2 linked regions of the Arabidopsis thaliana genome follow. The protein of the gene in region 1 interacts with the protein of each later gene in a pairwise test. Each region holds a gene or a part of one and is shown in the gene's direction. Other genes may lie near its edges.

Region 1 (6,071 bases):
CCTATTAAATCGAACCTTTAAACAGAAAAACTGGCCCATAAAATAACCGTGGTTGTGTTATAACAAGCCGGTTAAGTACAAACCGGAAGCGACTCGTGTTTGTTTAGTGAAGCGATCAAGCGAGCGAGATCAGTCAAATAGCTTTTTCATTGTTCCTCAGATCGAAGAAGAAGAAGAAGAGCTTAGCAACAATGGTAAATCTAGATCCGTCCAAGTGCTTTCAGTCACAGCTAATTTGATCTCTCTATTTGTTGCTTTTACGATTTCTGATTTTGTTTGGTGTGTTTGTGCTCGTTCCCGGTGAGAAGGCGGCGAAACCGATTGCGAGTCCGATTCCGGTGGCGCTGTATCCGACTTTATCGGTGTTCACTCTTGCGATTGGTCTCGTCATTACCGCTATCTTCTTCATGTAAGCTAATAATTGATCTGATCTCTAGATCTTCGAAATTGCCCCTTCTTGTTCTCAATTTATATTACTTGATGTCAGATTAGTGAAACAGTTCCTGATAGATTCGATCTACCTATGATTTATCTTGATTTTCATAAAGCTTGATTAGTGTGTGATAGTCATGACTAGGTTCTGAACTATGAATCGTGTGAGGCTCTCCTCTTGTTTGTTCACTGTGTATGAAGCTTGACCAACATTGTTACTGCTTATATATATGGTTTGGTCACAATGCTTTCTCAATTGCTATTCTCTAGAGATAGGTCTTCTAAAGCTCCTGAAGCTACATGTTCATCACTTTCATGATCTCTTTGCTAGATTAATCTGTTGAAATATGTGCCTTTCTTATTACTAAAGTTTCTGGGTAAAAAGTAAGAAAGTCATGGGACTCATCTAGTAACCTTTTGGAAATGTGTGAGCTCTATATACTATCATGATATAAAGACTCAAAATTTATCAATGATAAGGTGATAGTCTATGGAAATGGAATCAGTACTCTAATAGTTTCACTGAATATGACAAAATGACTGATTATCGATTTAGTTAAGATACAAGAAAGTTAGATTTGTATGATTTTCATTTAAGCGTGGAGCATTTACCTTTCAAAGGGTGGCAAGTTTTAGGAGATATGATTCGGTTTGTTAAAGTAATGTGCGTCTGGGCTACGAGAGCATGTGGGTTAGCCTCGAGTCAAAACTTTAAGATAGACTTGAACCATTCATTTTAGCTTCTTTGTAATAAGGTCATATTGGACTCTTTTGGTATTCATTGTGCTGGTTTAGATTCATTCAGCCCAACAAGGAGTGATCAAAACTTACCCTGTCATAACATTTGTGTTGCAGCTATGAAGCTACATCATCCAGGAAAAACCGAAGCGTCGGAAAGGAGCTCGCTACTTCAGCAGTTGCATCTGTCTTCTTGGTATGGATTTTCTTCTTCACCCTCTTGACTTAAGTTTAAGAGTTTTCTTTAAATCTAATGTTTGGTTAAAATCTGTTTCTGTGTTATTTGCAGGGTTTTGGATCGTTGTTTTTGCTACTTGCTAGTGGTGTTTATGTCTGATCCTTCTTCCTCAATACTATTCCCAACTAGTTCAAAGACAAAAAAAACAGATTTATCTTTGTTCAAGTAAAATCAGAGTTATGAATGTTAAGACTTGAGAAGTAGCCTTTAAACACCAAGTTACAATTAAATTATCTTCTTCTTTTGAACGCTAAACCGAGTTTTGGTTTCAATTTTCACCGCCTTTAGAACAGCGTTTGCGTTGTTAAGTTGATCAGTTAGTAACTTTCTACCAAGATTTAGAAGAAAGCTTTACTCAAATTTTGTAATGGGAAGATACTGATTATACTCTTTAGTGTGAAGAAATCATTTTAATTCGCTAATTTAAGTATTTGCCTATTGGGTATTTGCCGGGACGAAGTTTACTCCACGTGGCATAAATAATAATATTATAAAAAAAACAAAGGAGAGTAGAGAGAAAACGAGAGAAAAGAAGGAAATGGAAAGCGAAGCAGCAGCGACTGTTCAAGCCACCAGGCCGAGAAGAGCACCTAGGACTCCGGTGACAGCCATTTTGACGGATAAGAGAAGACGGAAACCTAAGAGCAACAACGAGTCTCAGTTACCATTTTTGCTACAGCAGAGTCAAAAGGCCACCGTTGACGACACTTACTCTCAGTGGAAGACTCTTCTTCCCATTCTCTATGATTCGTTTGTTAATCATACCCTCGTCTGGCCCTCTCTCTCTTGCAGGTCTGTGTTTTTTTTTATAGGTTTTCTGTTTCTAGGGTTTTCGATCTTTGGTTTTGGAGAAAGTTGGTTCTTTTTTGGGAAATAAAAATTCTAGCTTTGTGCTTTTGGTCAGGCGATTGAGTTACATTTCCGTTTCAGCTAGTGAAATACTCATAGATTGAGAGTTTTTCTTAGCTGGTTTCTGGAATTTGTGAGATTAGGACATGTTCTAGTTCGGGTTTTTAATTTAGCTCAGTCTCCATGCTTTTCTGTGTTTCTTTCTCTTTTAGGCTTTTAGCTCATTAGCTATCTGATGTTTCCATTTTTGAACCTCTGGAACTTGTTTTGGTAGGAAAATGATGTCGTTGATAACACTTGACCAACTCGGTTTAGGTGTTCTGTTTTGTTACTTTTTGGTTTCAGATGTTTAGCTGTGCTACGATTTAGTGAAGTGTTTAGCTTTTGTGTAAAGAGGTACGATTTCGTTGTAATCCTGTTGTTTGATTTGAGCAGATGGGGGCCACAGCTTGAGCAAGCAGGTTCTAAGACTCAACGTCTCTATCTCTCGGAACAAGTGAGTTTGCTCTTGTTCTTGTGGTTTGTACATTTTTTCTTGATGAAAAATATCCAAAGTTTGTTTACTGCTCCTTATGTTTACCGTTTTTTCTTGGTTCTGTCATTAGACGAATGGCAGTGTGCCTAATACTTTGGTCATAGCCAATTGCGAAACTGTTAATAGGCAGGTAATTAGTTTTTCTCTACCAAAGCTTGTGCTTTTGTCCTTGTGTTACTCTCTGCTGAGATGAAATTATTGAAATACCGTTTCTTTATATGCTTTCAGCTTAATGAAAAGGCACACTCTCCATTTGTGAAGAAGTACAAGACCATCATCCACCCTGGAGAGGTGTGATATTCCTGTATTCTCATTGTTTTTTCTTAGATGGATTTACTGAATCTGCATTTCGTTTAGGACTTGAGTGCTGAAAAAGATTTTGTTTTGTGTACCCTTCATTCATCGCAGGTCAACAGAATTAGGGAACTCCCTCAAAATAGCAAGATTGTAGCTACTCACACCGACAGTCCTGATGTAAGTTCTGCTTTCTCGGGTCATCAGCGTGACAAAAAAAAGGCTTTCGTTATTCAGTATCCTTGTTTTTGAATAGTTCCAGTTTCAGTCATGCAAGTATGATATATTGGTTTTCAGATTCTCATTTGGAACACTGAGACTCAACCAGACCGGTATGCTGTGCTTGGAGCTCCAGATTCTCGTCCAGATTTGGTATGCTCTTGTGAGAATTTTCGTTATGTTGTCTCACTGAGTTAAACAACCTGCTTGTGCATCATATTAACAATCGAAAGAGCTACTCTTTTTGCATCATTTGAACAACTTTTATTTTCAGTTACTAATTGGGCACCAGGATGATGCTGAATTTGCTCTTGCAATGTGCCCAACCGAACCTTTTGTTCTCTCTGGAGGTTTGTATCAGTTCTATTTTTGTGTCATATCTTGTGGTTTGCAAGTTTCTCATCAAAGATTCTTCCGTGCAGGCAAGGACAAGTCCGTTATTTTGTGGAATATCCAAGACCATATCACAATGGCTGGTTCGGATTCCAAATCCCCTGGATCCAGCTTCAAGCAGACTGGTGAAGGTAGTGATAAAACTGGTGGTCCTTCTGTTGGCCCTCGAGGCATATATAATGGCCACAAAGATACTGTTGAAGACGTGGCATTCTGTCCATCTAGGTAACTTCTTGGGACAGTCTCCTTTTTTAATAAGCTCTTAAGTTTACACCCAAATGCAGACCTACTCAGAATTTTCTGATGCTTTTGGTATAAAAAAATTGGTAATTTTTTGTTTTGTCCTACAGTGCACAAGAATTCTGCAGTGTTGGTGACGATTCTTGCCTTATGCTATGGGACGCAAGAACTGGCACTAGTCCTGCCATGAAGGTACCTCTTTTTTTTAGCCAGATCGACATTTGAGGTTTAACTTTTTGGTCTTGTTTCAGATTCCGTCTGTTTCTTCTTGTGCGCTGGCAGGTTGAGAAGGCACATGATGCTGATCTTCACTGTGTCGATTGGAATCCTCATGACAATAATCTGATCCTGACTGGGTACTGATTTCACAAACTTAAATACTTGTCCAAAAGTACAGAGATGCTACTCGTCCTCTCACTCTACGCTTCTACATCACTTTTCCAGGTCAGCAGATAACACTGTCCGTGTGTTTGACCGCCGAAACCTTACCTCAAATGGAGTTGGTTCACCTGTTTACAAATTTGAAGGCCACAGAGCTGCTGTTCTTTGTGTTCAGGTTTCAACAACATGCCACCACCTCTGTTTTTTTTTTTTGTTTTTTTCTTTTCATATTATTTGTCCTGTAAACCTATCCCCAATGACATTGCTTCGTTATCAATTCAGTGGTCTCCTGATAAATCATCTGTTTTTGGGAGTTCTGCAGAAGATGGTCTCTTGAACATATGGGATTGTGATAGGGTTAGTACAATTTCTCACATTCACATTTAAAACTATTCTCTTACTTTCAAGCTCACCATATTAACATATATGTGTGCACCAGGTTGGCAAGAAGTCTGAGCGTGCAACCAAAACTCCTGATGGGCTTTTCTTCCAGCATGCTGGTCACAGGTTCTCAAGACTTAATTCTAATTCACTTGCTTGCCTTTCCCTTTTACTCTCTTCAGTGGAATCTATAATTTCCTCGTGTATATCTTCTTAGGGACAAAGTGGTCGACTTCCACTGGAGCCTATTGAACCCTTGGACTATTGTCAGTGTTTCTGATAATTGTGAGAGTATCGGTGGAGGTGGTACATTGCAGGTACTTTTAAATGTCTTGCTACATTTACTCTGGAACCTACCTATGATTAACTTTCTCGGTAAAAATGAAAACTTTTGATTTGTAAATTAATGCAGATATGGCGGATGAGTGACTTGATTTACAGACCGGAAGATGAAGTCCTGACAGAGCTAGAGAAATTCAAGTCACATGTTTTCACATGTACCTCCAAGTCTTGAGGAAGCAATCCCATCATGTCTATTAGTATTAGTAAGTTGCTGGGGTTTAGTGTCAGTTTTTGCGAGGAAAATCAGTTTACTTATGCGATTTAGGTGTTATTTTTGCGGAATATTACTTGGTTTATGTAGGCCAGTAATTCAACATATTGGTAGATTTAGGACTTCCGGAATCTTGTATGGTACTTGATCCTGTTTCTTCAGGTTAATCCTAGGCACCTAACTTGCTTGTATTTTCAACTTTTTTTTTTGTGAATCCAAACTTGGTTAAGCAAGACCAAACTAAAACAACAGATTGAATCAGTGAAATCCAAATCTCAAGTGCTTGACATTTGACTCATGTGTCCCTGAACCGTTCAGTTCTACTTCCAACAACAAAAGCAGATAGAAAATCGTCGCTCTTCACCTCTATTCGGTTTCATTTCAAGCAAGATTGGTTCTGCGTAAACCGGGTTGAACCGGATCAACTCATTAGATCTACAAAGGATTTGTGCAATCTTAAGACCTGACATCTATACAAACTTGCAGACAATTGAACTTAATACTCTTGGGATTGTGGGGTGAGGGAGTTAGGTAGCAACATTTGAGGAAATTTATTGCATAATATCTTCTAGTAGATTCTCTCTCTCTCTCTCTCTCTCTCTCTCTCTCTCTCTCTCTCTCTCTCTCTCTCTCTAGTTAAAAACATCTAGGTACTAAGCCTTTCATGGGGTTTTGATTTATCTGACATTAAGTACACTACTCATTTATAGATATAAGACCATCTCATAGGGGCTTCTCTAGGTTTTGTTGGATTCTCATCATTGATTCATTGCAGCTATAACCAAACAAAACCTTCTTTGTCGACGCATACAAACACA
Region 2 (3,588 bases), on another chromosome or scaffold:
CATTTGACTCCCATCTTTCAAACTCTAAGAATAAGATAAGACAAATAGGTTCTATCAAAGCAATACAAAGGTTTAACAATTTCATTGGCTACACCGTATAGACCATGTAAATGTGTATCCACTGCTAAAGACTTTCATAATGAATACTAAACTTCCCCAATATATACAACTTTTTTCACAACTTAATCTAGATTCAAGGGAAGGGAAATACCTATCATCCCAGCGTGCAAGGCGGCATGCAAGATGTGCTATTAGTTCATGAACGGTTCTCGGAATGCAGGCTCCACCAGCAATAAGCATTTCCTGGTAAGACAGAAGGAACCCCAGAAGACTGAAAACCAGTTTTGACTAATTGATCAACGAGTAAAGGAAAACAATGATTCAAATAAGAAGAACAAACCTGGACTTCAGTAATACCTAAGACACTAATGTTCAAGGCAAAGCCTTTAACGTGCAATGCAGTCACCAGAAAATTCTGTGCTTGCCAAGACCTTAAGACAATAGGTATGTCATCTTCTTGGATGAAAGGATCACCCGCTGATTGTCCCAACAGCTCAAACAGCAACCCACCAGCAACTCTGACAGGCACCTATCCACCAACATATTAACAAATTTCAGCTATAGAATCATAGCACAGCTCACATTACAAAGAAGCAACATAACTCAGATTTTTGTTACCTCATAGAAAATATGTTTCATTCGTTCACTAATCAGTTTGCTTTCGTCCCGCAGAGCAAGACTGACCGCGGGATGTAACCAATGCGCATTACGTAACCACGAGGCAATACCATGATGGGTAGCATCAAGATGACACCACCAAGTTGGACCAGCAAGTGGTCGTTCCCAGTAAGGAGCAGCAAGCTCAGCAACAGTGGCTTCATCCTCATCTAAGTCAATCTTTCGCAAATCCCAATTATTATCAACTTGAACAGTCTGAACAAGCTCAGAGATCCTATCCCATCCAATTCCTCGCCAATAACTCCTAGAATGTTCTTCGTCTTCACCAGTACCAAATTGATCTGTTTCACATTCCTGTTTCTTTCTATCACAACAACAACAACACTGTTTAAAAAAACACTCTACAAGAAAAAGAAAAAAAGAGACTAAGCACTAATATGTATCAACAAGTTAGTAACAATCATCATACATTCTGAGAGACGAATCTCCATGGACACTTGTGTTATTCTTACGACGACCTTGACAAAACTCGAAAGCACAGATAAGTCCATTGGTCCAGAGATTATGGTAACCTGGATTCCCGTTCTTGTGATTCGCATTCATGCTTCACTTTAAATCACAGATTTTCGATTCATATCAGTCAAATCTCGTTTTCTGAGTAAAAAAAACAATCTCGAAATTTTAGGCTGCAATTTCACGTAAGATCATCAGGAAGCACGGAATTCGAAAGAAAACTAAGCCAAAGGAGTCAAACGCAACAACCTTCCCCAGAACTTCCCTGAATTTTCTGCACCGATTCGAAGAAAGAAAACAACAATTTGACTGAGAGAGAGAGATGAATGTGGCACAGGTCGAGGACGACAAGTCAAGGCTAAGAACCAACCACACGTGTACATTTACATATTTTGGGCCTTATTGGACCTTCTCTGTAGGACCAATTTAAAAGCCCAATAAGAGTCGAGTATGGAAGGCGATAAAATACAGAGCAGTGGACGACTCTCATTTTTTGTTGTTTCTCAACTCTCGATCAGTATTTGATTTTAGTTTTGGTCCCAAAAAGGGTATAAATTTGGTTGTAAATAGCTACAAGATGTTTAAGCATTATTATGAATCTCTCTGTTAAAGAAGACAATTGTCATGAATCAAATACTTAATCATCTGTTGAGAAGTAGGCTGCCAGAAACTTTTCTTTTTTTTCTTTTTTTGCAAAATAAATTTGTTAACTATTAATCACAATTTTTGGTGACAACTTAACCATCTCCTACTCCTCACAATCATTCTTTTGGTGTCTCTACCATTTAATAATTCACCAAAATCTCCTTACTTAAACTCACAAACTCCTCACAAATTTTCTGAATCTTTCAGTTGAACATATAACAACATTCATAACAATGGCTGGAGGTACAGCTCTAACTCCAACCTCTGTAGGATCCAAGTCTGTTCCAATGAGGAACCATGAAGCAACAGAGAGAGGCAACACCAACAACAACCTGAGAGCATTACCCAAAGCCGTCCAACCGGTTTCATCAATCGAAGGAGAGATGGCTAAGAGGCCACGTGGCAGACCCGCTGGCTCCAAGAACAAACCCAAACCACCAATCATTGTGACTCACGACAGTCCAAATTCCCTCAGAGCTAACGCCGTTGAGATCAGCTCAGGTTGTGACATCTGTGAGACTTTATCGGATTTTGCAAGAAGGAAACAGAGAGGTCTCTGCATTCTCAGTGCCAATGGTTGTGTCACCAATGTGACATTAAGGCAACCAGCTTCATCAGGAGCAATTGTCACATTACACGGACGTTACGAGATCCTCTCATTGCTTGGATCAATCTTGCCTCCACCAGCACCACTTGGAATAACTGGTCTGACCATTTACTTAGCCGGACCTCAAGGACAGGTTGTTGGTGGAGGAGTGGTTGGTGGGCTAATCGCATCTGGTCCTGTTGTTCTCATGGCTGCATCTTTCATGAATGCTGTTTTTGATCGTCTTCCTATGGATGATGATGAAGCTGCCTCTATGCAGAACCAGCAGTACTACCAGAATGGAAGATCCCGTCCTTTAGATGACATTCATGGACTGCCTCAAAATCTGCTCACTAATGGAAACTCGGCTTCTGATATCTACTCTTGGGGGCCTGCGCAGCGTGTCATGTCGAAACCTTAATACTACTGCTCTAATCTCCACGTTTCATCATATCAAATGCCTTAATCTTATTATCTCATTTACCTTGGAATCAAAGATAAATGTGTCTGTAGGTTGAGAGAGAACCGTAAGTCTGGTTAAGAAACTGAAGCTTATCTCCCTTTGTAGTTTGTACCTGCAACAGTAAAAAGAAAAAACTGAAAAAAGCAAAAGTAAATGATTATGAATTTTAAGCACAATCCTCTAATTTAATACGAAAATATTACAATATTTTTATCCTTGATCCAAAGTGAATGTTGGCCATTAATAGCAGAACATGTGAAGAATCATACAAACTGGTGATTTCTCTTTACCTGTGTGATACCAATTGCAGTTGCACCGTTCCAGCAATTATTTAGGAAACTGAGCTAGCAACCAACTTCTGATTTTACTCCACTCTCATCCCAGTTTCAACATGTTATATAATCTGTAAATCTCTAGAGGATTTTTGAGGGTTTCACTAACAAGATACAAACTCTTGACGTTTCAGATATCTGGGGATTAAGGAAATAAACGCGGTTTCTCATGTTTATGATTGGGTACTTTCATGAGCAATGCCAAAAACATTAGTACGTCTATCACCTTAAACATCATAGCCTATTTCCCTAAATCCCTATTTCATTATCTAACTACCTTGAATTAAAATCAGTACTTCTGTGGGTAGAATAACATGTTTGGTGATGCTGAAGCTAATCGTTATGTACTTATATCTAGCCAGTGAAGACGA

Evidence for each region.
Region 2: the proteins of NFC5 (region 1) and AT2G42940 interact in a two-hybrid assay, tested with the Arabidopsis thaliana proteins (one study listed by BioGRID).

Annotation. Positions count from the first base shown.
Region 1 is NC_003075.7:14,558,398-14,564,468, reverse strand, and holds NFC5 (nucleosome/chromatin assembly factor group C5), read left to right. Parts: upstream 1-1,867; 5' UTR 1,868-1,946; coding exon 1,947-2,200; intron 2,201-2,692; coding exon 2,693-2,753; intron 2,754-2,862; coding exon 2,863-2,922; intron 2,923-3,020; coding exon 3,021-3,083; intron 3,084-3,200; coding exon 3,201-3,266; intron 3,267-3,383; coding exon 3,384-3,458; intron 3,459-3,579; coding exon 3,580-3,655; intron 3,656-3,727; coding exon 3,728-3,923; intron 3,924-4,048; coding exon 4,049-4,130; intron 4,131-4,220; coding exon 4,221-4,294; intron 4,295-4,382; coding exon 4,383-4,494; intron 4,495-4,601; coding exon 4,602-4,676; intron 4,677-4,758; coding exon 4,759-4,826; coding exon of another isoform or gene 4,827-4,917; coding exon 4,918-5,017; intron 5,018-5,112; coding exon 5,113-5,214; 3' UTR 5,215-5,542; downstream 5,543-6,071. Other genes in the region: AT4G29735 (uncharacterized protein), read left to right, coding at 192-194, 309-409, 1,031-1,096, 1,288-1,366, 1,460-1,507. UniProt on the Arabidopsis thaliana protein: Core histone-binding subunit that may target chromatin assembly factors, chromatin remodeling factors and histone deacetylases to their histone substrates in a manner that is regulated by nucleosomal DNA.
Region 2 is NC_003071.7:17,861,752-17,865,339, reverse strand, and holds AT2G42940 (Putative AT-hook DNA-binding family protein), read left to right. Parts: upstream 1-1,883; 5' UTR 1,884-2,069; coding exon 2,070-2,843; 3' UTR 2,844-3,086; downstream 3,087-3,588. Other genes in the region: AT2G42950 (Magnesium transporter CorA-like family protein), read right to left, coding at 212-303, 401-589, 679-1,042, 1,148-1,281. UniProt on the Arabidopsis thaliana protein: Transcription factor that specifically binds AT-rich DNA sequences related to the nuclear matrix attachment regions (MARs).